4 linked regions of the Sus scrofa genome follow. The protein of the gene in region 2 interacts with the protein of the main gene of each other region in a biochemical or structural test. Links are inferred from orthologs where the notes say so. Each region holds a gene or a part of one and is shown on either strand. Other genes may lie near its edges.

What was found.
Region 1: the proteins of PPP2R1A (region 2) and AKT1 form a complex in vitro, tested with the Homo sapiens proteins (2 studies listed by BioGRID and IntAct, with this or other methods). The link is inferred for Sus scrofa from reciprocal best matches to the Homo sapiens genes PPP2R1A and AKT1.
Region 3: of the proteins of PPP2R1A (region 2) and DCAF1, one has a biochemical effect on the other in vitro, tested with the Homo sapiens proteins (2 studies listed by BioGRID, with this or other methods). The link is inferred for Sus scrofa from reciprocal best matches to the Homo sapiens genes PPP2R1A and DCAF1.
Region 4: the proteins of PPP2R1A (region 2) and PPP2CB form a complex in vitro, tested with the Homo sapiens proteins (2 studies listed by BioGRID and IntAct). The link is inferred for Sus scrofa from reciprocal best matches to the Homo sapiens genes PPP2R1A and PPP2CB.

The regions. Positions count from the first base shown.
Region 1 is NW_018084979.1:3,039,971-3,046,904, reverse strand, and holds the end of AKT1 (RAC-alpha serine/threonine-protein kinase), read left to right. Parts: intron 1-937; coding exon 938-1,049; intron 1,050-1,228; coding exon 1,229-1,376; intron 1,377-1,790; coding exon 1,791-1,922; intron 1,923-2,001; coding exon 2,002-2,067; intron 2,068-3,035; coding exon 3,036-3,104; intron 3,105-3,184; coding exon 3,185-3,310; intron 3,311-3,517; coding exon 3,518-3,646; intron 3,647-3,733; coding exon 3,734-3,948; intron 3,949-4,094; coding exon 4,095-4,182; intron 4,183-5,507; coding exon 5,508-5,610; intron 5,611-5,831; coding exon 5,832-5,911; 3' UTR 5,912-6,628; downstream 6,629-6,934. UniProt on the Homo sapiens protein: AKT1 is one of 3 closely related serine/threonine-protein kinases (AKT1, AKT2 and AKT3) called the AKT kinase, and which regulate many processes including metabolism, proliferation, cell survival, growth and angiogenesis.
Region 2 is NC_010448.4:57,939,608-57,947,193, forward strand, and holds part of PPP2R1A (serine/threonine-protein phosphatase 2A 65 kDa regulatory subunit A alpha isoform), read right to left. Parts: intron 6,724-7,586; coding exon 6,623-6,723; intron 4,386-6,622; coding exon 4,153-4,385; intron 3,223-4,152; coding exon 3,075-3,222; intron 2,986-3,074; coding exon 2,830-2,985; intron 995-2,829; coding exon 880-994; intron 771-879; coding exon 700-770; intron 274-699; coding exon 139-273; intron 1-138. UniProt on the Homo sapiens protein: The PR65 subunit of protein phosphatase 2A serves as a scaffolding molecule to coordinate the assembly of the catalytic subunit and a variable regulatory B subunit.
Region 3 is NC_010455.5:33,745,280-33,753,551, forward strand, and holds the start of DCAF1 (protein VPRBP), read right to left. Parts: upstream 5,479-8,272; 5' UTR 5,330-5,478; intron 2,790-5,329; exon of another isoform or gene 2,736-2,789; intron 1-2,735. UniProt on the Homo sapiens protein: Acts both as a substrate recognition component of E3 ubiquitin-protein ligase complexes and as an atypical serine/threonine-protein kinase, playing key roles in various processes such as cell cycle, telomerase regulation and histone modification.
Region 4 is NC_010457.5:54,292,792-54,300,861, reverse strand, and holds the start of PPP2CB (serine/threonine-protein phosphatase 2A catalytic subunit beta isoform), read right to left. Parts: upstream 5,077-8,070; 5' UTR 4,704-5,076; coding exon 4,602-4,703; intron 1-4,601.

The sequences.
Region 1 (6,934 bases), on a different chromosome or scaffold from region 2:
GCTTCCTCGGCGCTGGGCGGGGCTGGGGCCTTGAACCAGGAGCAGAGCTGGCGGGAGGGGGAGGCGTCTGTGTGGGGCCTCTACACCAGGGGCTCTTCCTGGTGGGGAGGAGTAGTCGGCCCTGGGCTGGGGTGGGGTGGGTGTCAGGCACCTTGTCCTGGGAGCGGCTGGTGGGCTCCAGTGGGCTGAGCACGTTGGGGAGGGGAACCCAGAAAGCTGGCCACAAAGCTTCCTCCGTCCCCTGCCCACAAGGCTGGGCGCCAGCCCCCCTCCCGGCCCCCAGGCCTGGCAGACCATTCCTCGCTCCCTTGAGCTCTCGGCGGAGCCTGCCTGGGGCCCCTCACGGTTGCCAGGGCCTGGACGCTGGAATGTCAGGCCCCTGCGCGGGCCCCACGGCCCCCTCCGCCTCGCGCGGGCTGGGCCAGCATCGGCCCCTCTCCAGGCCTGGGGCGCCCCCAGGTCCCGGGCTGCAGGTGTGCCCGCGCTCCTGTTAGTACGGCTCCTGTTAAGCCGCGTGTGCCTCCGGGGTGTGGGCCTCAGAGGGGTGGGGGGAGACAGCCCCGGCGGCCTCCAGGGAGGACAGGCGGCCTCTTCGAGGGTGAGTCGCCTCCAGCCTCCGCGTGGGACTGGCCTCGCGCCTGAAGGGGGGCGGCCGGGCCGCTGTCCTCGTGTGCCGGGGAGAACGGGGGCCAGCTCCTGTCCACGCGGGTGCCTCCGCCCTGCGGGCCCCTCCCCAGGGCCCCAAACGCCTCGCCTTCCGGGGGGCTGAGGGCGGTGGCCTGGCCGGCGGAGGGGGCGGGGAGTTGTTGGGAGACTGAAGGAAGGCGCCCCAGAGCCCCCCCCCGCCGCCACCGGGCGCCTCTGAGCTCCGAGCAGGGTCCCAGCTGCGGGGGGCGGGAGGGGGGGTGCGGATGGACATGGCCGCTGCCTCCACCAGAATGCCAGCTGATGAAGACGGAGCGGCCGCGGCCCAACACCTTCATCATCCGCTGCCTGCAGTGGACGACCGTCATCGAGCGAACGTTCCACGTGGAGACGCCGGAGGAGCGGTAGGCGCGCCCTCCCCACCGCTCCTGGCCCCTCGCAGCCCCCGCGGGCCGGCCGGCCCCCGTCGTCAGCGGGGTCAGCGGGCCGTGTCCCTGGGTCTCCGTGGGGGCTCTGGGCTGGGGCTCCCGAGGCGGGGAGGCCCGGGCCGGGTGGGGCTGGGGCCTCACCGACCGCCCTGCAGGGAGGAGTGGACGACCGCCATCCAGACGGTGGCCGACGGGCTCAAGCGGCAGGAGGAAGAGATGATGGACTTCCGGTCGGGCTCGCCCAGCGAGAACTCCGGGGCCGAGGAGATGGAGGTGTCCCTGGCTAAGCCCAAACACCGCGTGGTGAGGCCCCGCCCCTGCTCCCAGGGCTCCGTGGTCACAGGTCCCCACAGATGGCCCAGGAGAACCTTGGCCCTCGGGTTCCGACCGCCCAGAGCGCCGGGTCAGAAGCGAGGGAGAGGGGTTTCCTGGCGGCACAGGGGGTTAAGGATCAGGCGTTGTCACCGCAGTGGCTCGGGTCAGGAACGGCCACGTGCCACGGGTGAGGCCAGTAAAATTTAAAAAGAGGGAAGCGAGGAAGAGACGCTGGATTCCAGGAGGCCCGGGCGCCACCGCTCCCGCCGCCCCCTGGACCCCGTGGACATCCTGAGCCCCCCGGCTGTGTTCAGCCCCGAGGCCTCTGTCCCCCTCACCGCTCTCGGGCGGCCAGCAGCCCCCTGCCGCCCCCTGACCCCGGCGCCGGCCTGCCACCCGCAGACCATGAATGAGTTCGAGTACCTGAAGCTGCTGGGCAAAGGCACCTTCGGGAAGGTGATCCTGGTGAAGGAGAAGGCCACGGGCCGCTACTACGCCATGAAGATCCTGAAGAAGGAGGTCATCGTGGCCAAGGTGGGGGGCGGCCCGGGGCCGGGGGCGGGCGGGCGGGCGGGGCCGGGGGCCGGGCGGCTCACGGGGCCCTGTCTCCCAGGACGAGGTCGCCCACACGCTCACGGAGAACCGCGTCCTCCAGAACTCTCGGCACCCGTTCCTGACGGTGAGTCCCCCGGCCCAGGGCGCCCGCGCGGTGCTGGGGTCCGGCCGTCCCTCACGCCAGCCCGTCAGACCTCAGCCGGCCTCCTGGAGGCGCGGGCGGACGTGCCCGGTGCCGGGCCGGGGGGGGGGGGCTGTGCTGGTGGGCAGCGGGTCTGGCCCTCCCTCCGCCTCCCCGCCGGGACCCTGGGAGGCCACAGCCCCAGGCCCACCCTTCCTCAGGGCCTTCCCGGGCTTCCCCTGCCCTGGGGGAACTCAGCCCCAGGGGGTGCATGGAAAACCCACAGCCTTGGGGGCAACAGGGAAGAAGCCGGAATTGTCTGCTCCTGGAAGCCGGGGAGAGGGTGGTCAGGACTCGGGCGGTGGACGACGTGTCCCTGGGACCACCGCGGGCCTGTCCCCTCTGCTCGGCACCATGTCCTCGCGCCGGGGCAGGGCCTGATCCAGAGCAGCGGCAGAGCAGAGAAGCGGTCCTGCTTCTGGCGATTTCGCCTCTCAAAGGATGTTCTCTCCTGAGAAACGGCAGGCGTTTTTGAGAGCCGGCCAGACCCGCTCATTACTGTGGCTTTGTCTCCTTTGCTTCATGCCGCCCTTTGCCCCCGTCTGGCTGGAGGAGGGTGAGGAGGAGGCCAGGCTTTGTCACGCCCTCCGCCCCTCGGTGGGTCCACGCGCCAGCCGCGCGCCACCCTGTCCTGCAGAAACCGCGCTGGGTCCCGGGGGGTGTGGGGGCCCAGCTCCGGGGAGGGGCCCCGGGCCCGAGGCCCGAGGTCTGCGGCCGGCCGGCCGCTCGCAGCCGCGTTCTGCCAGGGAGGCGCTCGCTCAGCGGGGGCCTTTGTTTGGGCTTGAGGTGCCAGGCGGCCGGGCCTGCCCTGCAGGGGACAGGAGAGCTGCCGAGATCCCGGCCGGCCCACGTGGGGCAGCCGGCGTCCCCGCGCGGCTCTGGGCCGCGTTCCAGCGCTGCTTCCCCTGCAGGCCTTGAAGTACTCCTTCCAGACCCACGACCGCCTGTGCTTCGTCATGGAGTACGCCAACGGCGGCGAGGTAGGGCCTGGCCCCAGCGCGCGATGCCCGCTGCGGTGGCCGCCCGCCCCGCTCCCCCCTGAGTTCCGGTCCGTCCGCAGCTCTTCTTCCACCTGTCCCGGGAGCGGGTGTTCCCCGAGGATCGGGCCCGCTTCTACGGCGCCGAGATCGTGTCGGCCTTGGACTACCTGCACTCCGAGAAGAACGTGGTGTATCGGGACCTCAAGGTGGGCGGGGCCGGGGGCGGGGCCGGCCCGACACTCCTCCCCCCAGGCCGCTGCCGCCGCCGCGGTGCCGGGACCGCGGGGGGCGGGGGCGGGGCGGGGCCTTGCTGACCCCGCCCCCAGGCCGCCACTCGCGTGCCAGGGGACCCAGGCGAACGGAACCCCAGGCGGGTTCGCGGAACGGGCTGACTCCGAGGCCGCCTCGCGCAGCTGGAGAACCTCATGCTGGACAAGGACGGGCACATCAAGATCACTGACTTCGGGCTCTGCAAGGAGGGCATCAAGGACGGCGCCACCATGAAGACCTTCTGTGGGACGCCCGAGTACCTGGCCCCCGAGGTGCGTCCGCGTGTCTCCGGGCCCCCCGCCCCCCCCGCCCCGTCCCTGCGGCCTGAGCGCCCCACGAGCCCGCGCCCATGTCCCCAGGTGCTGGAGGACAACGACTACGGCCGGGCGGTGGACTGGTGGGGACTGGGCGTGGTCATGTACGAGATGATGTGCGGCCGCCTGCCCTTCTACAACCAGGACCACGAGAAGCTCTTCGAGCTCATCCTCATGGAGGAGATCCGCTTCCCGCGCACGCTCAGCCCCGAGGCCAAGTCCCTGCTCTCAGGGCTGCTCAAGAAGGACCCCAAGCAGCGGTGGGCGCCCCCTCCAGCCGCGGGCTCAGCCCCGGGGGCCCCAGGGAGGCTGCCTGTCCCCCGCTGCCCGAGACCTCGTGGGGGAAGGGCCGAGCTCTGGGCCGGGCAGGAGGCAGCCCCCGTCACCATGGCCTCGTCTCCCCCAGGCTCGGCGGGGGCTCTGAGGATGCCAAGGAGATCATGCAGCACCGTTTCTTCGCCAGCATCGTGTGGCAGGATGTGTATGAGAAGAAGGTGCGTGGGGGCCTGTGGGCCGGCCCCCCCCAGCCACACCCTTACTCAGGCTCTCACCTCCACCCCCACACGGTGGCACACCTGCACACACACGCTTACACGCACATCCACTCACACACCTGCTCCCACCCCCACCCCTGCTGGCACACCTGGTCTCACACACCCTACACCTGCACACACACAGGCTCACACCTGCTCACACACCTGCACACACACACCTGCTCACCCACACGTGAGGAGGCCCCTGAGGAGCGAGGCAGCTTCTTCCTAAACATGTGCCTCTGCCCGTTGCCTCTGAGGGACTCGGGAGCCCCAGGCCCTGGCCCAGCAGGCTGGGGGCAGGAGGGGGATGTCCCCGGGCTCGTTGACGTCCTGTCACAAGCACACCTCGCCCCCATTTCCAGTCTCCCTCGCCTGCAGGCCACACGCAGCCGGCTGGGCCTCTAGCCCCTGAGAGATGGGTGCCCCACCCTGCTCAGCTCCAGGCCAGGGGCCTGCCCTCTGGGGGCTGCAGTGCCCACCCTGTTGGTCCCTGCTAGTTCCCAGGGCAGCCCCACCCCCAGGCCAGGGCCCTGGTGGGGGTGGGGTGGGGCGCTTGCTTCTCCCCCCAGCCTGGCCCCTTACACTTGGCCTCTCATTCCGCGTCGTTGGGAGTCCTGCCTGTGGCCACGCTCAGGGCCACTCTGCTACCCGGGAGCTGCGAGTGAGGCACCAGACTCCCTCCGGTGGACCCCTGAAGGACCAGGCCCCCCGAGGGGAAGCGGGCAGGGGAGGGCGGGGCCCCATCCACATCTCCTGGGCGGGGCTTGGGCATCGCATCCCCCTCCCTCCCCAGGGCACCTGGTGGGGTTGGCACAGGCCCTGGGCAGGGGGCAGTGGCCGGCTGCTCCGGGGCCCCCTCCCGGGTGGCAGTGGGCCCCCGAGCCCTGCCCTCCCCTTGTCTGGCATTAGCCTCTGCAGCCTGGGCCTGCCGGCGGTTTCTGAGACACCCGGAAAGGAAAATAGGAGCGCTGGAGAAAGAAAAGTGGCCAGGGCCCCTTCTGCCCCGGGGGTGGGGTCCTCGGAGCTGGGCTGCACTGCCTCCTATCACCTGCAGGGGCGCCGTGACACTGCTTGCGGGCTCTTGGTTGAGGGGCACCCACCTAGGCCCTAGGTGGGTCCCCTCCTGTGCAGGTCTCCTTCCAGAACTCTGCCTGTGGGTGGGGACGGCTGCCTGGACACCGTCCCCTGGGAGACAGGAGTCATTTCCCAAGCCAGGGGCACAGCTCCCTGGGGGCCGTGGTCCGGGCGGGTCCGGGTCTGTAACCCAGCCCCCCTTTCCGCAGCTCAGCCCACCGTTCAAGCCTCAGGTCACGTCCGAGACGGACACCAGGTATTTCGACGAGGAGTTCACGGCGCAGATGATCACCATCACGCCGCCCGACCAAGGTGAGGGCCGCGCCTTCCCCTCCGCTCCCCCGGGCGCGCGCGCGCACCATCCCTCGGCGCTGCCCTCGGTGGGAGGCCGGCCGTCCAGCGGCCCTCGGGAAGGCTGCCTTTGGGGGGTGGCGGCCGCGGCAGGAGGGCCTCGCGGGGCGAGGAGGCGAGCCTGCCGGGCGCTGGGGTCTCGCTGGTGCCCGGGCTCTGAGCCGCCCCGCGCGTGCCCGCAGACGACAGCATGGAGGGCGTGGACAGCGAGCGGAGGCCTCACTTCCCCCAGTTCTCCTACTCGGCCAGCGGCACGGCCTGAGGCGGCCAGCCGGGCGCGCTCTCCGGACGACGGCTTCGAAGGGAGGCGGGAAGCCGCGCTCGGACCTCCTGTATTTAATGGGTTTTGTTTCTGGACGCGTTTGGGCCGCACCGGGCTGCTCCTCCCACCAGGGATGCGCGGCTCGCGCTGTGGCGGCTGTGGCGGGGGCTGCCCGCCCGGCCCCGGGCCGCCTCCCCAGCCTCCAGCCGGGCCGGGAGGAAAACGCCCTGCAGTTTTTCCTAATTTATTCATCCGGTTCTCCAGGCGCGGCCACGCGCCGCGCGCTCTCGGGCCGGGTGGGCCTCGCCCGCGCTCCCGGCCGCACCGACTCGGCCCGGAAGCAAGCCGGGCCAGGAGCGCCGGCCGGGGCCTGGCCGGGGCTGGAGGCGGGCGGCCCCTGCGTGGGGCTGGGCCGGGCGAGATCCTGCTCTGTTCACGCGCGTCCTGGGGGCTTCATCTCAGAAGGAAGCCCCCCTCTGCCCCTGCCCGTTGGGACCATCCCATCCGATGGCTCCCCTGGTTAGCAATTGTCCTCATAGAAGCTTCACCCTCCCGCTGTCGCCGCGGCCCCGCCCCACGCCCTTTGCAGGGGCCATCGCTCCGCCCTCCGGCCAGACGCTACGCTGCACCACGGCGGTTTTTTATATTCAACTTTAGTATTTTTACTATTATGAGACTTTCCCTCCAAATTCCTCAATAAAACTTGCTTTTCAACTCCGTGGCTTGTTTAGTTAGGTGGCCGGCCCACTGGTGTGGAGGGCCCTGTCCCTCCTGCCTCGCGGTCCCGAGGGCAGCCTACGAGGATAGGTGTCCCCCACGCAGCTCTGGCAGGACTCGGTGGCTTCGCCCCAGTCCCACGCCCCGAGAAGGCCACCCAGACTGCACGGCCACCTGCGCACCAGCCCTGTCCATCCAGCAGATCCTGGTCACGGGGAAGGACCGGGACCCTGAAGGGCCCAGAGCTGGCCAAGGTCGAGACAGGGCCACCGCCAGGCCCTGGGACCTGAGGAGGTGCGAAAAAGC
Region 2 (7,586 bases):
AACGCAGCGACAATGTGGGTGCTGGTGGAAGGTCCTAGGAGGTAAATCCCTGGCTGATCTGGGAAAGCGGCTCTGAGCTCAGGGCCTCGCTGGTGCCCTTACCCCACCCTGAGCTCAGGGCCTCGCTGGTGCCCTTACCTCATCCTTCAGCTGAGCCAGGAAGAGGGGCAGCAGGTGCTCGATGGTGTTGTCCTTGCCCAGGATGGGAGAAAGGCCCATGATGACCGAGGCCAGGGCCGACTTGACATGCTGGTTGGCGTCGGACACCAGCTCCTGGGAGGGAGAAGGAAGTGGGAAGCCGCGGGCTGAGTGGCTAAGGAGACTCCGACTCCTATGGAGACTTAGACTCGGCCTGCTTTTGTGCTCACTCCCAGAGCAGGCTTGGTGCAGAGGGAGAACTGCAGGTCCTCACGTGTCCAGCCTGCCTGGAGATCAACGACCCTGCTCCCAGCACCCCCGCCCCCACCCTTCCGATGAGGAGACCCAGGGACCTCTGCTTGCGAGAGAAGCACTCTCACCCCTACGCTCAGCCCAGAGTCTGCACGCAGGGCTCCTCACTGCCCCAACCCAAGCCTGCCTGGCCCTAGAAGTCTGGGAGCTCGGTTTGCACCTGGCTGCCCCCAAAGCCTCACCTCCACCCTTCCTCCCCGAAGGCTTAGATCTGCTCTAGTTCCCCCCTCCACCCCCAGTCCCCGATACCTTGATGCAGGGCAAGATCTGAGTCATGATGACATTCTCCCGACAGTCGGCTGAGAGGTTTTCACAGAACTCTGCGGGCAGGGAAAGGGAGGCGGCAGGAGGTGAGACCCGAGGGCCTGGTTCTGCCTTCAGCCCCCTGGACGCCCGCCCACTTGCTGTGTTCTGCTCGCCAGCACCAACCTTTGACCTTGTGGGAGGCTGCGGCCCTCACCTCGGCCTCACAGTCTTTCATCAGGTTCTGGAAGGCGGGGACCAGGTCCGTCTTGGTGATCTCAGGCCCCACTGCTTTCTGGAGCTGCAGGAAGGGAGGAGTGAGTGGGCTTGGCGGTTCTCTAGGTGAATGAGAACTGGCCGAGAGCGAGGCCCCTGGAATCGCTGCGAAGGTCTAATCCCAGCACCATGGGGATTGACCTCAGCCAAGTCGCCGAGCCACTCTGAGGCTCAGTTCCCTCCTCCTAAGGTGCTGAGCTGGGCCAATGGCACAGTGGTCACCAGCGTGGCTCTGGAGTCCAAGCCCCAGCTCAAATTCTTCCTCCTACTTATCACCCACGTGACCTTGGAGGAGTGGCTACACCTCTCTGAGCCTCTGTTTCCTCAAAAGCAACACGAGGACTGCAAGGGTACCTAACCGCACATGTTACCTACGTTAGAAATAACGAGATCGCCTTACTCTGCAGGTCATTCAGGGCTGGGTTTTCTGTTACCTGATCCAGAAGGAGCCTAACGATTTAAGGCGGCTCTCAGTTTTTGCTTTGCAGGATCACATCTACGGCGTGTGGGGGTTCCCAGGCTAGGGGTCCAATTGGAGCAGTAGCTGCCGGCCTGCACCACAATCACAGCAACGCAGGATCCTTAATCCGCTAAGCAAAGCCAGGGATCAAACCTGCATCCTCACGGTTACTAATGGGGTTCACAACCCACTGAGCCAAGCAGGAACTCCCTGGCTCTTTTTGAATCACATCTGTGCTTTTCAAAGCTGGTTACTGGACCCATGCTACTTGTGTAATTAAAGTGAACATATAATGGTTAAGAGGGCAGCAGACACACAAGCTGCCCACCACCGCCCATCTCACAGCACCAGGAAGAAAAGGCGCGTGGATTCTGCGGCACAACTGCTTCCCGAAGCCCTGGCAGGAGGCGGAGCGGTTCCCGACTGAGGGAAGGAGCACCGACCCTGAGGGCCTGAGACCCATCTCACCAGTGTTCTCGAGCCCCAAGAGCCAGTCCTGACTGTTCTCGGCTCACGTCCTCCAGCCCGGCTCTCGTGCACTCATCTTCCAGAACCTGCTGGGGCACCACCTCCTCTTCTCAGAGCCTCCGCGCCCACATCCACCCGCCGGCCTCAGCCCCCGGGACACTTTATCGAGATGCTTCCCTCTGTCCAGCTGATCCTGCCCTTCAGGCTGCCTGCACCTTGGAGGCCGGGCTGTGCTGAATTCACTGCCTCCCCAGCGCCCAGCAAAGAGCTGGTGCTCCGCAGACGTGTTTGTGGGAGAAGCCAGCTGGGGTCTCCGAGGAAAGCGTGCTGTCCTGGGAGCTGCGGGACCTCGCCCAGCCCGCCGGCCTGGTGTCACACTGACCGGGGTCAGGGGGCTGAACCGCATCCCCCTGCAAGTCTCGGGTTGAAGTCCTAACCCCCAGGACCTCCGACTGCGACGGCAGCTGTAGAGAGGTCTTTCGAGAAGTGACAGGGGAAAACGAGCTCCTGAGGGTGCACCCGAGTCCGGAGCGACCCGAGTCCACAGGGGCAGGAGAGACGAGGACACAGACACCGGCAAAGGCCGGGGAGGGGAGCCATCCACGACCGAGGAAAGACGACTCGGGAGACCAGCCGAGCTGATGCTCTGATTTCCGACCTCGGCCTCGCAACAGGAGGAAGTAAAGTGCCACCGGCTCCGAGGCGCTCTGAGGGGCGCTCACACACAGGCTCTCCCACAGCACCCCGAGTTGCCCCACCCACCCAGCAGGGTGGGCAAGTCAAGTGGGACCCAACGAAGTGACAACAGAGGCCTTACTTCTTAAACACCGACGGGTCCACAGGGCTCAGCAAACCCCGCTCCTGAACGAGGTCCCTTCCCCTGCAGCCGCACTGCCCCGTCCCTGAGATGCTGGCAACGTCCCCTCAGGTACCTCTGTGAACTTGTCGGCCACCATGTACCGCACACGCCAGGACTTGTCCTCCGCAGCCTGGCGCAGGGTGGGCATCACCAGGGCCTCCAGATCCTCCTGGGGCAGGAGCTGGGCGATGTTCACGCACGCCTCCACCGCCAGCAGCCGCACCGAGTCCTGGGGAGAGGGCGGCAGAGGCGCCATCAGCCCCGCGATCCCCTTTGGGACTCGGGGTCCGCCGGGGGCGGGGCGGGGGGCAGACCCACCTGCTCGTCAGAGGCCAGGTTGGAGAACATGGGGATGATCTCGCTCTTGACGTTGTCCAGCTCCAGCACCTTGGCAAACTCCCCCAGCTTGGAGGCTGCGGCCCGCCGCACCATGGGGGTGTCATCTGAGCACAGGTTCCGGAAGTACCTGGGGGTTGGGGTGGGGCTCAGGAGGAGGACTCCCCGGGGCCCCAAGGCAGCACGGACTCAGCAGCCCCGGGGCTCCTGGCTTTGCCTGGTGACGCTGGGCCAGGGACGGCCTGAGTCTTCCCAGCCTTAGATAACGGAGCTGACTGACAGCCTACCCGCCCCACAGGGTCACCGAGAGCTTTTAAAGCCTCGAGATCATGAGCCTGAGCCACTCGGCAGCCGTCCCACACAGGAAGTCTGTAATGAATGGTGGGTGCCGATTATATTATTATGACCACATAAAATGCTCGGCGAGGGTGCAGGGCTGGGGCGACTCCAAGACTTTCCCTTGATCAGAGACGTGGGCACACGCGATCCCTGAGCACGAGCGGGCAGCCAGAGCGGAGCTTCCCGGCACGAGCGATGACTGAGGGCCTGGGCTTGCTGCTCAGTGGTTCAGAGTCGCCGGATGGACAGAAAGGCCCAGAGGAGGGGAGGAAACACAGCTCGGGGAACTCTAACCCAATAAAGGGATTTTCACTGATTCTCCCAGAAGGCAAATCCACCCCATGAGGAATGCCCCGGGCCATCAAGCCAGGGGGAGGAGCTGGCGGAGGGAGGCCTCCCACCCGACCTGCCACCCGAGACAGGCCGAAACGGCGACCCGCAGCACCTGAGCGCTTGAGATGTGTGAACTCTTTTTAATGCTCCCAATAACCCATGGGAGCAAGAACAGCACCCCCATGTCCAGCATGAGGAAGGGCAGCACTTGGACGTGCGCCCACACGTCCCGACACCCCCTCCCCGAGGGCAGGGAGGGGGCGGTGCTGGCTGGGGGCGCTCAGGGGCACCTGGCCCTGGACAGGCCTGCAGGGGGCTGAGGCTGGAGAGGAGGGGACCAAGCTGGGGGGAGCGGTGGCCTTCCGGGGGGCCAGGGGCCAGGACTCACTGTCGAAGCTCCGCCTTGACGGCACTGGACACACGGGGGTAGCAGACGGAGAAGAGGCCGCAGGCCGAGGTGCGGGAGGTGAACCAGTCGCCGCCCGCCAGCCGCTTCACGAGCGGCACGAAGTGGGCCTCGAGGTCGGAGGGCGAGTGCTCATGTGAGATGGCCCGCAGGGACTCCACCGCCTTGTCGCGCACCACCGTCTCCTCCACCGTGGCCAGCGACTCCAGGGGCGGCTGGGGGGCGGAACATGAGGTCACCGGACAGCCCCCTGCCCGCCCCCCGCTGCTCCCCTCGTGGGCTCCTCTCCTCCAAAAGGCCTGCGCCCGGTGTCAGCCTCCACCCAGCCTGCACTCCCCGAAGAACAACATTCACAGGCCCCTGAAGGAGCTTCGGGGGGGCGAACCCCAAGATTGCACGTGGCACTTTCTGAGGAGAGGAGCACAACCGTCACTGGCCTCTCAAAGTGCACTAGGAACCCCGGTGCCGACCGGAACGTCCACTCCCCAGGGCGCAGCTCCAGGCTCTCACGCGCTGAGTGCCATGAAGCAGGTGCTGCTGCTGCTTTCCCTTGAAGGAACAGAGAACCGAGGCTCAGCCAGCGAGGTACTCTGCCCCCGCCAGTGGGAGCCATGAGCCGGGATCTAAAGCTGGCCACCGGCTCCAGACCCTCCCAGAGCTGAGGACAGAGCTGCTGACAGGCAACGGCCTCAGGCGCTCACGCCACCGGGGCACCCTGGGGCCCATGCCTCCTGACTTGTTACCGTGAGGCCTGGAGGGACATGTGACTGGCTGAGCAATGCGGCCCCTGAGCCCAGCAGACCTAGCACGGGGCGGGAACTCAGTCATTACTGACCTAACAAAGGGGGACTCAACTCATTCTAATCTTCCCACAAAGATGCGGAGATCAGTGGTCTGACGTCCAGCCCAGCCCGACAGCAGGGAAATCGGAAAGCAATCACAGACGCAAGTGCTTCCTGGGCCCGGGCAGGGAACAGAGGGAAGCCTTGGGCAAAGGGATAGTGCTGCCTGACCCAGAGGGGCCAGCAGACACCCATCCCCAGGGCACGTGCTCCCCAAAGGCAGCACGGGGAGGACTGGGGTTTCCCTCGCTGAGAACGCGCAGGGGGAAGACCCGGAACGGGCGGGGAAGGCGCCCTGGGCTCCAGTCCTGGCTGGCCCCAGGCCCCGGGCCCTTGAGAAGGCGTGGGGCTCTCAACAGTGTTTTCTGCTCTGAGTCCTCTGAGAAGCTGCTAAAAGCTGTGAATTCTCTCCTCAGGAAAAGTGACAAGCATCAGGGGCTGCAGACAGTTCCATGGAGTTCAAGGGACCCCCTGCAGGCTGGCCCAGCGACCACATCACATCACGTCGCATCAGAGGAGGGCATTAGACAGTTCTACTGTGTGTCAAAGGTATGAAATTACCCCATTCACATATGACCTTGTGTGTGTACATCTACAAATTACACATGCACACAGATGAAAGACGGGACACCAGAATTTCACGGTAATTATCACATTTTCCTAGAGTTAATGCTTCATGAATGTTTGGAAGGAAACAAACTACCATCTTTGCTCAAATCCAAGATGCCAACAATTCTAACAAACACCTTATTTCATGCACCACGAAAAGGAAGAAAGCCTGCTGACAGTAACTAACTGTAAACATCCCAAGCGCAGACGCCAACGTATGGAAATGTGCCTTTAGACGTGAAACACAGAATGACTGCGGGGGGACGGAGGCAACAGCTACAGCCCACGGCTCCGAGGAACAGAGAAAACCGGGAACGGAGCTCCCCCTAGGTTCTGCTGACCCAGAATTCAGCACTGGGGCACCTCCTCCCGTCTCTTCTCCCAAACAGCAGTCACATCTGTGTCCCCAGCCATTACCCAGCACAGGGCGGCCCAGGCTGGGGAGGCAGGGCCTGGGGAAGCGTCACTCGGACACGCCTGGAATCCCTGCTCTGCCACCCGACCTTGGACAAGCTGCCTCCCCTCTGTGCTCCGGGAGGCTGTCTATACCCTAAGGGCAGACACGACCTCATCACACGGGGCATGATGACAGCTAACATCTGTCAGCACCTGCACAGAGCAAGCACCATGCTGAGACCACTGCTGGGTCTGTTCTAAGGTAAGCGTTAATGCCTCACCCTCAACAGAAGAGGAAAGCATAGCACAGAGAGGGTAAGAAACTTACAAGTCACACAGCAATTAAGCGGAAGAACCCAGCCCGACCTCAGCCTCATGTGCAGAGTGCCAGGAAGGACCAGCTCTGGTCAGGCACGCCCGATCGACGGCATCACCGATGCCAGCATTTTCGTGACTGCTGTTTTAAATGCCACTGCTGACCTGCCAGGGTCAAGTCAACATCCAAGGCCGATGTGTTCCACGGGGATGGCCTGCGCCCAGGCTGGCGGGACCGTGGGCCAGACCCCACCAGCGGCGGGCGGGGGACGGTCCACTTCCAGACTCACCAGCAGGCAGTGCACGTACTCGGGGCCTCCGACCAGCGTGGTGAAGGTGCCCAGCTGTTCCGCCAGGGCCAGCAGGACCTCGTCCTCATCGTAGATGGTGTCTGGGGGACAAGACAGACAGTGTCACAATCCCGCCCCAGGTCTGACCCCGGCCCCTCCGTCGCCCAAGCTCAGAACAAGCAGGCTCCACACCGCCTCCTCGAACTGGCAGCCGCCCTCCGCTGTGCGGGCAGAGATGAAGACACAGGCTGGGGTCGGGCAACAGAGCGCCCGTGACTAGGGGTGGGACGCTGCATTCCGTTTCTGCAGCTGCACGCCGGTGCCGACCACCTCCGCCCTCAGGGAAGGGCACAGTGAGGCACCAACAAGGCCTGTGTCCGAGCGCAGGGCCTGCCCTGCAACTCTCAGCTCTCGCCCTCAGCGCTGTCGCTGCCAGCGACGCCTCCCGCTTCGGCCTGAGGAGCTCTTCTCCGTCCCTGCACACTCAGGTCGGCTACTGGGTCCTGGAAGAGTTCCAGGATGCCCCCAGAAAGGCAGGTCCCTTCTCTGGGCTCACGGCCCAGCCACGCCGCCTCTGCGGAGACCACGTCTCAGGCTAGGACCGCCCGAGCCTGTGCCACAGCTCCTGCCAGAGACAGCACGGCACGGCGGGCACTCCGCCTGCTCAACGTCGCTGAAAGAAGGCGACCAAGAAAGAACTGCTCTGCCCCAAGGCCTAAACGCAAAGGCCTTTGGCCAGCCCCCCCCCCCCGCTCGCCGAGGCACTGGCATCCCTCGGGTCCACTGCCACGTCCTGAGTTTACGAGAGGCAGACTCCCCGTCTTGTGGACGGTTCAAGTCCCGCTCTGTGGCTGTGGGGCAACTACCTTCACCTCTGAGATTATCCCCTCAGCCCCAGACGACAACACGGTTGTTCTGACTGAAGGGAAGTAGCTGCTTTCTGCGAAGAGCTCACGTGGGCCCA
Region 3 (8,272 bases), on a different chromosome or scaffold from region 2:
TTTTAGAGGCAAACATAGGGTAAATCTTCATGACCTTGAAATTGGCAAGGGATTTTCATTTAACATCAACAGCAAAAGCAACAAAAGAATAAACTGGACTTTATCATTTAAACTTTTGTGCATGAAAGTGAAAACACAAACCCAAAGAATAGGAGAAAATATTTGCAAACCATGTATCTGGTAAGGATTTAGTATCCATAATATATGAAGAACTCACACAACTCAACAACAAAAAAAAAAAAACTGATTCAAAAACGGGCAAAGTGGAGCTCCCACTGTGGCACAATGGGATTGGTGGCATTTTGGCAATGCTGGAATGCAGGTTCAATCCTCAGCACAGTGGGTTAAGGATCCAGCATTGCTGCAGCTGCAGCTTAGATTGCAACTGCAGCTTGGATCTGATCCATGGTGTGGGAACACCATATGCCTGGGGTAGCCAAAAAAGAAAAAAAAAAAATTTGCAAGGAACTTGAATAAACATTTCTCCAAAGAAAACATACAAATTGCCAACAAGTACATGAAAACATATTCAAACACCAGGTGTTCCCCTGTGGTGCAGAAGATTAAAGATCTGCTCGGGTCACTGCTGTGACACAAGTTAGATCCCTGGCCTGGAACTTTTACATGCCACAGGCAAAGGAAAAATAAGTAAATAAAAGGTATTCAACATCATTAGCCATTAGGGAAATGAAAATCAAAACCACAATCATACCTACTAGGATGACCAAAACCAAAAAATCAGAAAATAACAAGCATTGGCAAGGATGTGGAAAAAAATGGAAGGCACACTTTTGATAGGAATGTAAAATGGTATAGCAGTATATAAAAATATTTTATGGCTCCTCAAAAAGTTAAAAAAAAAAATTTATCATATGACCCAGCACTTCCACTCGAAGGTATATGCCCCAAAAAACTGAAAAGAGATAGTCAAACACTTGTACACACATATTCAAAGCATATTCACAAGAGCCAAAATGTAGAAACAACCCCAAAGGTTCACCAAGAGATGAGTGGATAAACAAAATGTGGTTATATTCATACAATGCAATAGTATTCAGCCACATAAAGGAAGGCGGTACAGGGAGTTCCCATCGTGGCTCAGTGGTTAACAAATCTGACTAGCATCCATGAGGACACAGGTTTGATCCCTGGCCTCGCTCAGTGGGTCAAGGATCTGGCGACACGGTGAGTTGTGGTGTAGGTCACAGGTGCAGCTTGGATTCTGCATTGCTGTGGCTCTGGCGTAGGCCGGCGTCTAAAGCTCCAATTCGACCCCTAGCCTGGAAACCTCCATATGCCACGGGAGCGGCCCATGAAATGGCAAAAAGACAAAAAAAAAAAAAAAAGGAAGAAGGTACATTACAACCATGGATAAACTTTTTTTTTTTTTTTTTTGGTCTTTTTAGGGCTGTACCCCTGGCATATGGACGCTCCCAGGCCAGGGGTAGAATTGGAGCAGTAATCGCTGGCCTACACCACAGCCACAGTAATGCAGGATCCAAGCTGTGTCTGCAACCTACACCACAGCTCATGGCAACGCCGGATCCTTCACCCATTGAGCAAGGCCAGGTATCAAACCTGCATCCTCACAGATACTAGTCAGATTTGTTTCCACTGAGCCATGATAGGAACTTCCCATGGATGAACTTTTAAAAGAATATGCTAGGCTTTAAAAAAATATACAAAAGGTCACATATCATATGATTCTATTTAGTCTTACACAAAACACCCAGAATAGATAAATCCATATACAGAAAGCTGCCTAGTGATTGCCAAGAGGTATGTGTGAGGGGGAAATAAGAAGTGAGTGATTAATAGCCATAGGGTTTCCTTTTGGAGTGATGAAAATGTCTTAGAACTAAAAGAGGTGATGGTTGTACAACACTGTTAATCTAATATATGCAGCTGAATTATGCACCTTAAAGGGGTTAATTTATCGTATGAAAATTTTAAAAAAATTTTTGGCCACTCCTGCGGCATGCAGAAATTCCTGGGCCAGGGATCCAACACAAGTCACAGTGGCAACCAGAGCCGCAGAAGTGACGATGCCAGATCCTTCACCTGCTGTGCCACAAAGGAACTCACACATTTTTTTTAATATGGGAAAAATGGTCCAGGAGAGAATGCCTCTTGGTTAACTTAAGCAATCAGCCTAGTAGAACACATAAAGGCAAAGTTTAAAGAAAATACTATGTCTAAAAAAGATCAATTCAAGGGCATTAAAATAGTAATATTTTACAGTTCAATTTAGACACACACGTGATTTTGGTATTATTTTCAAAATTTCCAACTAACTATGCCTAAGAATAATTATAACTTTGAGAATAATCACGTGCCCAGGGAAATATAAACTTAGACAAAAATAATAATACCAATAATTCATTTTACTATCTATGACAGACTACTAACAAAAGGCAAAAGGTGCAGTCATCTTGTTATGGACAAGACAGTGAAGATACATTACTCAAATCACCATGTTTCAAAGTGAGTTGTTTTAGTGGTATGCAGAATTTATGGCCTGTCCAACAGTGACACAATAGTTATCGAATTGTGAAAATTAGTATAAGATAAACACTTGTTTAGGTAATTTACTGACATTATTCTGAATTTCCATAACCAATATGCCCCTGTTTTTACAGACAAGGAAAGGGGCTCAGAGAGGTCCCCAAGACCAATCGATTGGTACTTGGTAGAAAGGGGTTTCAAGCATTCAAATCCCAGCTCTGCCAACATACCTCTGTGAGATCTTGGTCAAGTTATTTAACTTCTCCAAATCTCAATTTCCTTATCTGTAAAATGGAAATGGTTGTCATGAGGATTAAATAAGACTGTCCATAAAATGGAATAACATAAATTTCCACAAAAAATATGTAGAAAGTCCTTATCCTAAAGGATGTCTGCCAAAGTATTTAGGGGTGCTGTGTCTGCAAATTTATTTCAAATGGTTCCACAAAAATAAATGTACGTCATATCCACCTATAAGAGAAAATATGGCAAAATATTAATAATAACTGTTGAATCTAGATGGATAAACAAGTATTCATTTTACTATTCTTTCAACTTTTTAATACGCCCGAATTTTTTTTAATTAAAAAGAAGAAAAAAAACTAGGAAGGATTTCCTTTCCTGATTTGTGTTTTGTTTTCTCTGCTTTTCAGGGCTCACCTGGGCATATGGTATTTCCCCGCCCAGGGGTCGAATCAGTCCTGGAGCTGCTGGCTAGGCGTTATGTGAGCAGTGTCTGTGACCTACACCACAGCTCGTGAGAATGCCAGATCCTTAACCCACCAAGTGAGGCCAGGGATGGAACCCTCATCCTCACTGACACCAGTTGGGTTGATTTCTGCTGTGCCACAACAGGAACTTCTTTCCTAATTTGGACCAACTCTCAAAATGTTGTCAAGTGAGAAAAGTCTGTGTGTGTGTCCTGGAAAAATTCATAAGAAACAGATAATAGGCATTCCCTTGTGGCGCAGTGGAGCATTATCACTCTCACTGCAGCAGCTCAGATCACTGTGTGGCACAGGTTTGATCCCTGGCCCAGGAACTTCCACACAATCAGTCAAAAAAAATTTTAATTAAAAATTTTTTTTAAAAAACAGATAATAACTATTATTTTTGCGGCAGGTAACTGACTTTCTAAGGGATAAGGGTAGGAGAAAGATTTTTTTCACTGTTATTACTCTAGATTCACCATTTTTCCACTATTTTGTTATCTTCTGTAACTTTTAAATTAAACCAAAAAAATATGTGAACCTCTAATACACAATACTGAATGGACTGTTCTGCAGAAACTATCCCAAAGCCTAAAAAAAAGTACTCATTAAGGATAGATCCCACAAGGGTAAAATCCCATAAGGTTAAAATGTCTGTACACCTTCTTCCTTATTTGAAAAAAAAAAAAAAAAAACTGGGAAAAAAAAAAACCCAAGTTTGGAGCTTCGAGTAAAATTTACCTAATTACGTCTATAACATATAAGAACATGTATAACAATACTCTATTACTTTTTATGACCATGACAGAAATATAAGAAAACTGGTAACAAACCAACTTCGATCACTTCAAACATGTGTTTCATACTACTGGACAACAGACAGAATAGTAAAACACTGTGCTCAGCAATTACTCAAGAGATTTTGAACATAAAAGGATTTCCATTCTAGCTCCCAAATTCTGTATCTAATATCTCACATCCAAAAATACACTATCACTGGAAAATGGACAATAACTGTTACATACAAAGGCCAAATCTTGACAGCATCAAGTAGAAAAAATACAAATTGATTTCTAAAGAGTGTAACTATACAAGTTCACATAAACCTTAAAAGTAAACTCCCGTAAACTTGGACAAGAAAATTACAGAACAATGCCAATGAACCTCTCACTCTGTACATTAAAAAGCTTTTAGAACACGAAGATGCTGCTAATAATCATTAAAACACGTAGGCTAATTAAAATCCTTCATTGAAAAGACAGCGTAAGAAAAATTGAGGCCAACGTGACATAGACAAGGACAAGTCAGCTGGGACTCAAAAAGAACTACTACAAACACTCCAAAACTACTTCAACACAAGCGAAACCCGAGTGCTAACATGCAGTAAGAGGAAGTGAGACCAAAACCGTCTAGGAAGAGAGAGTTAAGCCAAACGCCTGACACCCAGTTAAAAACGACTATAACCCCCAGAAACAGGCTCCTGAGAAACTTGGCGGGTACTCCAAGGTTTGGCTCCAAGCTGCAGGACCCACACACATCTCATTCCACCCCTCCCTTCCACCATGGGAGTGGGAGGAGTGCCAGGAGAGCTCCGCCCCCTCGACCCATTACGGTGCCCAGCTAGTGCCGGGGGAGGCGGCAAGAGGCCGAGGAAGGGGGAAAGCCCTCCCAGGTGGCTGGAGGCGGAGACAGTATAGGAAAGGGGGGGGGCGTACAGCAGGAAGATGGAGGCCCCCAGTCCGTACGGAGGAAGACGGGGGGGACTGGAAGGTGAAAGGTGATGAGGGAAATAAGAGGCGCCCCTCCTCCAGGTAGGGGCGGGCACAGCCTTGCCCCCTACTCTGGGCTGAAGAGTTACTCTAGGGAAGTTTCTTTTGCCGGCTGGAGCAAGAACGTGAAAGCCCCGCCCCTGAGCCAAGAATCGGGAGGAGAGAAAGTCCTGTCAGGCCGCAGACCAAGCCTCCCCCGAGGCTCGGCCCGCCCCCTCTCCGCCGGCGGCCCAGGCAGGTGCCGCCCCTCCCCCAGTCCGGCGCCCACTCTCCCGCCCGCCTGGCCCGGCGCCCTGTCTCCTCGCGCCACTCCGAAAGAGCCGTCTCCCTCCTTTCTCTACTCACCTTCCCAGGCGGCTCCGCCGCACCCCCCTGACCCCGCCAGTGGCCACAGTTCACACACACAGCCTCAGGTCCCGCACTCACTCTCCCTCACTCACACACAGTGCGACCACGGCTCCAGAGCGGCCCACATATTATGCGTCACTCGCGTGCTACGTACCCCGCGCACGCGCGCGCGCGCGCGCCTCTCCCGACTTGGCGCGAGGCTCCCTGGCAGAAGGCGGGAGGAGAAGGCCAGGGTGAGCGGAGGAATATCGACGAGCCCCAGAGCCGCCTGGGAAATGGAGTTCCGCCTCTATGGGAGGGGCCCGCTAATCCTGATTGGCGTTCGAGCACTTTGCCCCCGCGCATTGGCTTCTGGGAAGTGTAGTTTTTAGCGTAAACGCGAACTGCTACATACTCATTGGTTACTCAGGAAACCGGAAGCGTGAAGTGAAAGACCCGATCCTCCCAAGCTTAGGCTCTAATTGCTAAATACCCTCTCAGTATCTTATTCGGTCCTGGGTGACAAGGGCCTTTGCTTTATTCTCTCATTTGCCCCATTATACCTAGAATATACCAGGATCTAAGAGTATTTCCCAAAGTATATGTGAAATGCCAGCACTCATTTAACAGAAGGCTCTGTTTTTTTCTTTGTCTTTCTGTTTAAGACCTTGCCTGTAGGATCAATAAATATTCATCCTAGGTATTATATGTGAGGCAGAGAAAAGGAAAAAAAACCAAAGACATAGATTAAGACAGGGCTGACCTCAGAAGCCATCTAATTTAATTCCTTTATTTTACAGGTGGGAGAAGAGAGACCAGGTCATACTGAGTGACATGACTAACATCACACAACCAGTTAGCCGCAGAACCAGAGCGACCCCTGACTCTGACACTGGATTTCTTTGACACTGGATTTCTTTTTTGGAGGCATGAAAGAGAAATGTAGCTCCATGGGTAAGCAGAATCTCTCCTGGACAAGATCCTACCAAGGCTTTATTTCTGGGAGTTCCTGAGCAAGTTTCTGTACATTTTTATGGAATTCTCACAGTCAGCACTCTCACATGAGGAACATGGAACATAGCAAGCCTGCTGCCATGCTCACGTTCTATAGCTAGTAAGAAACTAGCAAGAGCCTAGATGGTGGGTCTCTTGATTCTGTTTCCCACCAGAGCCCATTGCCCTCTTTCCAGAAAGAGACTTCCCTCCTTCACTTCAGTGTGTAACTTGAAGCAGCTACTCAGGCACAAAATTCTACAATGATGGGTGGCAGTGCTATAGAAGTGTGTCTTCTCTCTGCACCTCTGTCTCTCTGCACCTCTTTCATGTCTTGTAACTCTCTGTCTCTGTGGTTCTGGAACTTTGCTGATCTCAGTAATGGCCGCTAGGACCCCACAGGGTAGTACAGTTAGCCGCCTATACAAATGAGAAATCTGAGCCCAGACTGTGGCCCAAGGAATGGGGCCCAGGTTCATGGGTGCAGAGAGCCTGGACCATAACTTCCTACATCAATCCTCCTTCAGCTGACTCCTTCAGCTGACTTTCCTGCCATGCCTCCCTGGGCTCTGAACCCAAAATGCATGAGGATGGAGCATTTAGGACTTAGAAACTTTCCCTCTGTCCTTGATGTAACCAGTGTGGTTGTGACTTCCCCACTGACTGAAATCCTGAAAGGAAGAGAGCCCTCGTGGGAACCCAGGGTCCAGCTCTCCTGTTCCTGGCACATCCCCAACCTGCCACCTGATGGCACTGTTCCCCTTCAGAAAATCAGCCTGGGACCCTGGGTAAATGATGGGAATAAAGGGTATTCCAGAGGGCCTATGGAGGAGCCAGGGCCCAGGAGGCTGGGGAAGTAGAACAGGAGCTAGCTACACAGGCCCTGTCCAGCAACCTCTCCTTCCAGAATCTCTGTTCTATAATGCCTGTAGCCCTCCTACCTCTCCCAACACACACACACACACACACACAGGCACTCACAGAGCCACATACCTGCAGGCACTCCCAGACTCCTGCCCCAGGAAGAGGAAGAGACTGCACTCAGGTTATCGGGGCTGTACATACATTTTAAGCATGCTCATTGATACATTTCACAGGCCAGGCATATGTGTCAGAGATACAAGCATGCACTCCTGTGCATTGGCACCACTCCTCACAGCCAACACTTTGACATCTAAGTATGTGCAAACACAAAGCTCCAGATAAATCAGGCCCACACACCCAGCTTGGTCTGGCACATCATGCCTGAGTCATTGGAAAAATATTCCTTGGCCTCTTTGGAAGACCATTTCTGGACTCTCTCTCTCTCTGTTCTGCCTGTGTCCATCTTTCCCTGTGGTATGTCTCAAAAAGAAGCATCCAGTATCCAAATGGGCAAGAAGTCTTGCCTGAGGGCTGCCCAGTCACAGAGGAAGGGCAGGAGTGGCCCAGCCCTGGCCCAAGCACCAAGGTCTACAGGCTTAGGAATGTTCCATCCTGCCCTCATTCCCCACTCCTGCCCATACTCTGGGGCATCAAGTCCTCTGGGCTTCAGGATGCTCTTCCCCTCTGCATCAACTCCTCTCATCACTTTTCTGCCACTTCTCTCTGATCACTTACTTCCAGGCTCATCTTACCCAGGTGCTACCATCAGCCCATCCCCACTCTGGTGCTGCCATAACTCCTGTGTCTCCTTCTGTCCCACACCCACTATCACTCTACTGTTGGCTGAACAAGACTGCTACCGCAAGTGTCCAGGGTCACAGGAGCCACCAAAGAGGCTCGGGGCTTCCAGATTCTGGGGACCCCCAACCTGGACAAAGAGGAATTGTTAAAAAAAAAAGAGGGAATTCTAATCATTCACTTGGTACCCTCCCCCTTCCTAGGAGCCCCTCTAGCCCCCTAGAAAGCTGGAGCACTTGCTCAAGTGATGTGCAAAGCAACTACCCCTGTGTAATTACATCCATGTCCACTATTCTATGTTTCACA
Region 4 (8,070 bases), on a different chromosome or scaffold from region 2:
GGACGTTCCTGGGCCAGGGACTGAATTTGAGCAGCAGCTGCAACAACACCAGATCCTTTAAACCACTGCACCTGGCTGGGGATGGAACCTGAGTCCCTGTTGCTTCAGAGACACCACTGATCCTGTGGGATTCCCACAGTGGGAAATTCTGAGGTGCCCACATATTAAAAAAACAAGTATGTATTACTTTTTCAATCTAAAAAATAACTTTTTAAACTTCAAAACAAATTCCAGATGGCAATAGCTTAGTTATAAAAACAACCACAATGGTATATTCATATAAGGGAATTTTACTCAGCCAGGTAAAGGAATGAATTACTGGTACATGCTATAACATAGATGAATCTTTAGTCAGACATAAAAGATTACGCAGTAATTCCATTTATATAAAATGTCTACTAGAAGAGGCAAATCCACAGAGACAGAAAATACATCAGTGACTGCCAGAGGATGGGGAGAATGAGGAGTGACTGCTGATGGGCACAGGGTGATGGAGATGTTCTGGAATTATATGGTGGCAATAGTTGCAAAACTTTATGAATATACCAAAACCACTGAATTGTACACTTTACAGGGTGACTTTTATGTATGTAAATTATATCTCAACTTAAAAATCTATATGAGGGAGTTCCTGTCGTGGCGCAGTGGTTAACGAATCCGACTAGGAACCATGAGGTTGCGGGTTCGATCCCTGCGCTCAAAATTTTTCTAATTAGGCACTTTTTAATCATCAGAATAAAGATCTGCTAGCACACAAATAGGCTCAATTTTCCTTTCTACATATCATAACCAATTCTTCAGTATAAAAGTTTATCACGTTGAGTCAAAAAACTTCTCTTCCTGAGACTCTACCAAGAATTAAATATAGTTCTGGTCACCAAATGTCCCGTTCGGTGCCAACCCGGCTCTCCGGGCACACCACCTTTCTAAATTACTGTGCACACTGCTGTTGCAGGAACAAATCGCAGATATAATCTCTCTACGCACAGAAGAGGTGTCAAGTGCACAATCAGCTTCAAAAGCTGGACTGCTAACTTAAATTCATTCAGAGCTAGTAGTCTTCTTGGAAGGCATGTCTTAACCATCTTATGCAAACATTTTTTCTCTAGACAGAAATTCACCTAGATGACCAAACATAAAATGCTACTCAAACCCATATTTTTGGTAGTTATTCTCCAACTGGCATTAGAATGGGTTTTACTTTTGCCACTACCTAAAAATAAGGCTTTTTTTTCCCCAGTACCATTCTGGTCTCAATTTCAGCTGACTTCTCTGAGTTAGCTTCTGAGATAACTTTTGTTCCGTTCACTGCTGTATCTCCAGAACATAATAAACACTCAGTAAAGAGCTGTTTGAAAAAATAAATGAAGGCATTCCTGCTGTGGTGCAAGGGGATTGGTGGTGTCTTGGGAGGGTTAGAACGTAGGTTCCATCCCTTGCCCAGCTCACTGAGTTTAGGATCAAGCGTTGCCACAGATGCCGTGTAGATCTCGACTAAGGCTCAGATCTGATCTCTGGCCCCGGAATTCCATATGCCAAGGGGTGGCCAAAAAAGAAAAAAAAAAAGAAAAAAGAAAAAAGATGAATTCTCCTGTGGTGCAGCTGATTAAGGATATGGTGTTGTCACTGCAGCAGCTTGGGTCACTGCTGTGGCTCAAGTTTGACCCCTGGAGTGGGAATTTCCACGTGCCAAGGGCATGGACAAAAGAAAAAAAAAAGGAATTTAATTTTGAGGGAGAAATCACCACCATACGATGTTAACTTTCTATACAATAATATTGCTAATAGATTCCACAAAATCATATTAAAAAACCCCTAAAATCTAGTCACAAAGAATTAAAAAGATATTTGTAATTAAGTATGACCTTTAATTTTTTCTTATATTCTTTCTACATGCCTATCATTCTTGACCTGGAAGGGTAGAGCAAATATTAAGTAGACCAAGTGAGAAAGACAGTTACTTCACAAAATTACTTTGTGCTTCTGTCTGTCTTACAGGTAGGAGTCAGAGGTGCCAAAAGACTGGCAGCTATTAAGTTGCAGAGCTAGGATTTGAACTTGGCTGGCTACTAGAGTTCATTATTAACAAACGCTGCACTTGGCAGGAAAAAGGAGGGCAGAAGTAGGGATATAAAATGGAACTCTAGACTAAGGGAGAAGACAGAATACATGTACCACAGAGATTCGCCACAGTTGCCAAGGGGCTGCCACCGTCACACTTCTCCAGTCCACTGGCAATCCATCAAGGTGGTGGAGGACCAAGACAAATGACTGGGAATTTTCACTTAAAAATTCATGCTTAGTGGGCAAGTACAAATATTCAAAGAAAAAAAGTAAGACATAAGGTTAGATATATCTCAAAGGTCCTAGGGATTGGTAGTTCAATTCAGGAGCTAAAGTTAAAATAATCTCTCTGGACAAACACAGAAAGCTTCCTCAAGTGATTAGGATTCAAGTGTGGTTGAGGGGTAGAATATTCTTCTCCAGAAGACATCTTAAATTTATTAGAGAATTAAAGGGAAAAACTGATTCAACTGCCAACTTTGTCCATAACTTCAAGTCTTTATCTACTGTTCACAGTGAGGTGAACTGACTCAGCTAATTTCAGAACTGAATGTTTCACCTGACACTGGAGCCTAAGAGAGCGTGAATTAAAATGTAAATTCTAAGACATGAAATTACAGGTTATCACACAAGAAAACTGAATGTGGAACTTGAAGTGGTAAGTAAACAGCCTGTTTCAGGGAAACAAAAATACCATTTGCTTGGCAGTTCTATTTACAGAAATACACTCCTGTGTTAACAAATAGTTATTTAACAGACTCACAGATACAGAAAACAAACTTATAGTTACTAAAGAGGATAGCGGGGGAAGGGGGTGAAGAGGTAAGTTAGGAGTTTGGGATGAGCACACAAACACACGACTATATATAAAACAGGTAAAAACAAAAATGTGCTGTACAGCTCAGGGAACTTTATTCAATATTTTTGTAATAGCCTATAATGGAAAAAAAATCTGAAAAAGAATACACATATATGTGTGTAACTGAGTGACTGCTGTATACCTGAAACTAACACAACATTGTAAATTAACTATACCTCAATTCTAAAAAGTTACATATGTATGTAGACCCTAAGCAACAATACATGTAACTAAAAACACTATTCTTGGGAGTTCCCACAATGGTGCAGTGGGTTAAGAATCTGACAGCAGCAGCTCAGGTCTTTGCAGAGGTCCAGGTTTGATCTCTGGCCCACTCAATGTGTTAAAGGATTTAACTCCACAGCTACAGTTTAGATTTAACCCCTGGCCCAGGGAACTTCTATATGCTTGGATGCGGCCATAAAAAGGAAAACAACAACAACAAAACAGCTATTACTCCTCCATTCCTAAGATGCTTAATTTTAAGGGTGTGCTATAAACAACATTGACAAAATCTTTCCTTCTTCAATGCTTTTCGGAGGCATCCCGGCTTACAAACACAATGATCAAGAAAGTCTTATGGGTCATGGCTTAAAAATACAAACCAATCAAAAGCATTAAAGAATAAATAACTTTGTTACTCCTTCATATGAACCTTTTTACATAAAAATGTATTAATATTATTTAGGCCAAAAAAAAGGTGGAATGAGAAAAATAAACTGTAAAATCTGAAATAATTCGAGGTTAAGAAAACAACGAATATAGGACTCAGAAAGTGGCCTAAAATCACACAATCAACAGCGACTGTAAACAGTTAATTGCCTGCATATTTTACTACTTTTTGGAAAAAAACAACTTAAATATGTAATAGAAATAACTTTCTGAAAAGTGTTACCCTGCACGTAAAACACGTACCCATTGATCATTTCATGCAAGCAGTGTTGCCAAACTTAAGACTAGCCGTCCTGTTTCTGAAAATCAACATTTTTGCTTCCAGAGAGCTTCTCAATTGAAGAAGACCAGTCACCATCTGTCTCAACCAAAGTCAACTTCTATTTTAAAAATCACAGTCCGCCATCACACCCACCTCTCTATAAACAAATGCTTGATACATTTCAACTCGATGATTTCTGAAGGACCGAGTCACCTGAGAAAACGGCTACGTTTATTATATCAAGGGCCTTGAGATTCACAACGTCCAGGTTCATTTTCAACTACGAGATTGCCTAGATTACCCTGCCAGCCAGCTAAAGCGCGGATTGCTAGTCCGCACGGAAATACTGGAGTGTCAGCAAAACCCAGAAAACAGTCGGCGCCCCAATCACTCCAGGAGTGGATTCCGGGTGCCACGTTGCCCCCGCCCACCTACCCCGGACCCCTTAGGCCAGGACTGGGAGCTTCCAACCCCAGCCGGGTGCTGGGTCTCCAGGGGGTCCAGGAACAGCCCGGCTCCTCCCGGGGGAGGCTGCCCGAGTGGGAGACGCAGCCCCGCAGGTCCCAGACGGACGCGCCGGACAAGGGACAAGCAGGCCAGGAGAAGAGGTGGGGGGGAGGGGGGGAGGAGAAAGGGGGAGGGGAAGGAGGGGGGAGGGGAGAGGAGGGAGAGGGGAGAGGATAGGTCCCAGCCCCCACCCAGCCTGTCGCACGCCGGCCGCATCTCGCCAATTTTCTCTCTTACCTTTTCGCATAGGGTCCGCACTTGGTTCTCATTAAGCTGTTTACACTCGTTCAGCTGCTCGACCCACTGGTCCAGCTCCTTGGTGAACGCCTTGTCGTCCATGGCGACCCGAGCCCCTCCCCCGCCGTCTCCCGCCCCCCTCCCCGCCCGCCCTCGCCCCTCGCGCCGCTCCCCTCGCCCGCCGCCGCCAGCTCCCAGTGGGAGAGGAAGGAGTGGGGGAGCGCGGCCCCGGACCCCGCGCCCCGCCCGAGCCCCGCGGGCGGCTCCTGGCGCGCGGCCTTCGGGAGACCCCCGCCCGCCCTGGCCCGCCGGGCCGCGCGCCCTGGGCGTCACTGGAGGGCGCGGGGAGGTGCGGGACTTCCGCGCAGCTCCCGCCGGATTATGGCCACTTGCCGCCGCCGCCGCCTCCCGCCCGCCCGCTGCTCTGGATTCCCTTGCCCCTTCTCTCTCGCTCTTTCTTTCCCCTCCCTCTGGGTTTCCGTCATCGCCCGGGCATTTCCGCCGGGAAAAGGTTAGCAGGCGGTGCCGCCGGAGCCCGGGACTCGAGGAGGGGTACAGCGCCCCCGTGTGGCTCGGCGGAGAAACGGTCCCTTTCCCTTCCATCTTGCACTTTATCGACCAAGCTCTCCCAGTTCTTTCTTTACATAATTTTACGCAAGTCTGTACCCACTATAGTTTCCTGCAGTGCTTTTTTCCCCCTTTTTTTCTTCTTTTTATTTTAGCGTTCTGTAGAGGGGATTGGAAAGCTTGTCCCCCTCCTTGACAACATTGTCTCCTCAGAATCTATCACTCTCCCATAGCAGGTGGTCAACATTTGTTGAGAAAAAAAATAAATTCTTTCTAGTCTTACCTCTGTTATGAACTAGCTGTGAGGCACTGACATCTCGAATCCCCCCTTTCAGCATCAGAAAGATGAGATGACAGCTCTGTGTTTTACCAATCAGTGTCCCAGCTCCCTCATCCTCCACGGAGTTGACTGCAGTGTTTACTGAATTCTCATGATTTGTTCATGCAACAGATACTTAATGAGCAACTGCTAACTGCCAGATCTCTTGAACAGCTAATGCTTACCAAGTTGACTTCCTATATTATAGTTGCAGATTATTGCCACTGAACCCAAATGGGAGGCAGCCTCTTGTATCTGAAGGCAAGAACTCCCTCCAGCTCCCTCTTGGCATTGCTAGCCTCCCAGCCAGGTCCTTGGACAATCACCAAAGCTCCCCCAGCCTCAAGTTCATCATCTGTTAAAAGGGGGCAATAAGCCCTTTTCAGGTTATCATGATTAAATTCTACAAGTGCTTATCCAACAGTAGAGTTTGGGAGCCATGTTCCTCTGTTTCTTGCCTTATCCCTCCTAGGCAATAGCTACAGAAAACTTTAGAAGGGTGGCATTTTTTTTCTTTTCCTTTTGCAGTGGTTTGCTGCGGGGTCTCAGTTCTCAGACCAGAGACTAAACCCCAGCAGCATCAGCGAAAGGGCCGAGTCTTAACCACTGGACCACTAGGGAAACCCTGAGAGAGGTGGCATTTCAACTGAATTTTGAACCTTCTCCCTAAGCAACACTTTGGAGTTCCCTGGAAAAGAGGAAAGGAGTTCTCAGGATTTTGGGTTTTTTTTTTGGAAAGTGGCGGAGAACAAATGTGTGCAAGACCATGGTCTCTTTGGAAAGCTACAAATACTCCTAATAACCGAAATAGGTCCTATGGTGGAAAATAAGGCTGGAAGAGCTCCTGTTCTCAAGTGTCTTGTAAACAGCAGCAAACCAACTGCAAGACAGAACATGAAAAGGTGGTAAAACAATACGTACAGAATAGGAGGGGTATCTGTAAGATTGCAATAGATTTGCAGTCTCTGAGGAGGCTAGTCTACAAAGGTTGAAAGGAGGCTGTTTCAGCTACACCTGGTAAGTTCAGAATGAAAATGAGAGTAAGAACATATTTTCAAAGTTCCCAGAGAAGATGGATTGAGAATAGAAAATATGTCTTGAGAAGAAATGGGAACTATGGATAGTGTTGGGGGTGGGTGTCCCTCGACATAGAAGCAGATGTATTTGGAATTAACATGAGAGAATGTTTTTAGACTTGAGAGTAGGGAGGTGTTTGTGAGAATAGTGGTTCTGAAAAGTTTAGTCAAGTTATGCTATAGAGCAAATAAGAGTGTTTTCTGAGTGCTTCCTGTCTAAGTGTTTTTTTTTTTTTTTTTTTTTTGTCGTTTGTTTTTTAATGGCCGCACCTGCGGCATATGGAAGTTCCCAGGTGAGGGGTCGAATCGGAGCCCTAGGCCACAGCCACAGCAACACCAGATCCTTAATCCACTGAGTGAGGCCAGGGATTGAACCCACATCCTCACAGAGGCTACATCAAGTTTGTAACCCTCTGAGCCACAATGGGAACTCCTAAGTGTTTTTTCTTAAATATTTCTTTTTTTTTATTAAATTATAGTTGATTTATAATGTTGTGTCATTTTCTGCTGTACAGCAAAGTGACCCAGTCATATATATATATACTTTTGCTGAGACCAGCTCAGCAGCTGAGGGTAGGTGAGGGCTGAAGAACGGGTGCTGTGAAACTTAAGAGAAAGTTAACGTAAAACAAGACACAGTGGAGTTCCCGTCGTGGCGCAGTGGTTAACGAATCCGACTAGGAACCATGAGGTTGTGGGTTCGGTCCCTGCCCTTGCTCAGTGGGTTAACGATCCGGCGTTGCCGTGAGCTGTGGTGTAGGTTGCAGACGCGGCTCGGATCCCGTGTTGCTGTGGCTCTGGCGTAGGCTGGCAGCTACAGTTCCGATTCAACCCCTAGCCTGGGAACCTCCATATGCCGCGGGAGCGGCCCAAGAAATAGCAACAACAACAACAACAACGACAAAAAGACAAAAGACAAAAAACAAAACAAAACAAAACAAAACAAGACACAGAGACATTTACCTTAATTAAAGGTGGGAACCAGGGGACTCAAGGTCTCAGGGACCAAGAGTGCTGCCTCAAGAAACCACACTGCTTTTATTGTGCTCTTTAGGCTTACATCAAGTGATGAGGGGGTTGTAGGTGCAGGATATAGTTTTTTACCATTTTAAAAGTCACATAGCCTGTAGCTGGTTAAGCTTTTATTCTGACCTTTAGGCATTTAACAATCATTAGCATTGACGAAGCTTGGCATCAACTATCTATGCATAGCATCTAGAGAATCACCATTGTGCTTCTGCAGACAGTGTGCCTATCTGCAGCAACCCAGCTACCTAGGTTTGCACCTTGGTTCTCCTTGCTAATGCATATCCTGTTAACAACCCCTCATAAACCCCTTGGGGCCATGAGGTTCATTTTCCTCTTGTTCTTTAGAGGACATATGCTGTGCAAATGGTGTGCCTATCTGCGCAGGTCCGGCATGCCTAGACCAACACATTGTGTCCTCATTCAGCTGACCATATGAATAACTTATGCCTTTAGGTCTTTGTTCTTAAGCTTAACTCAT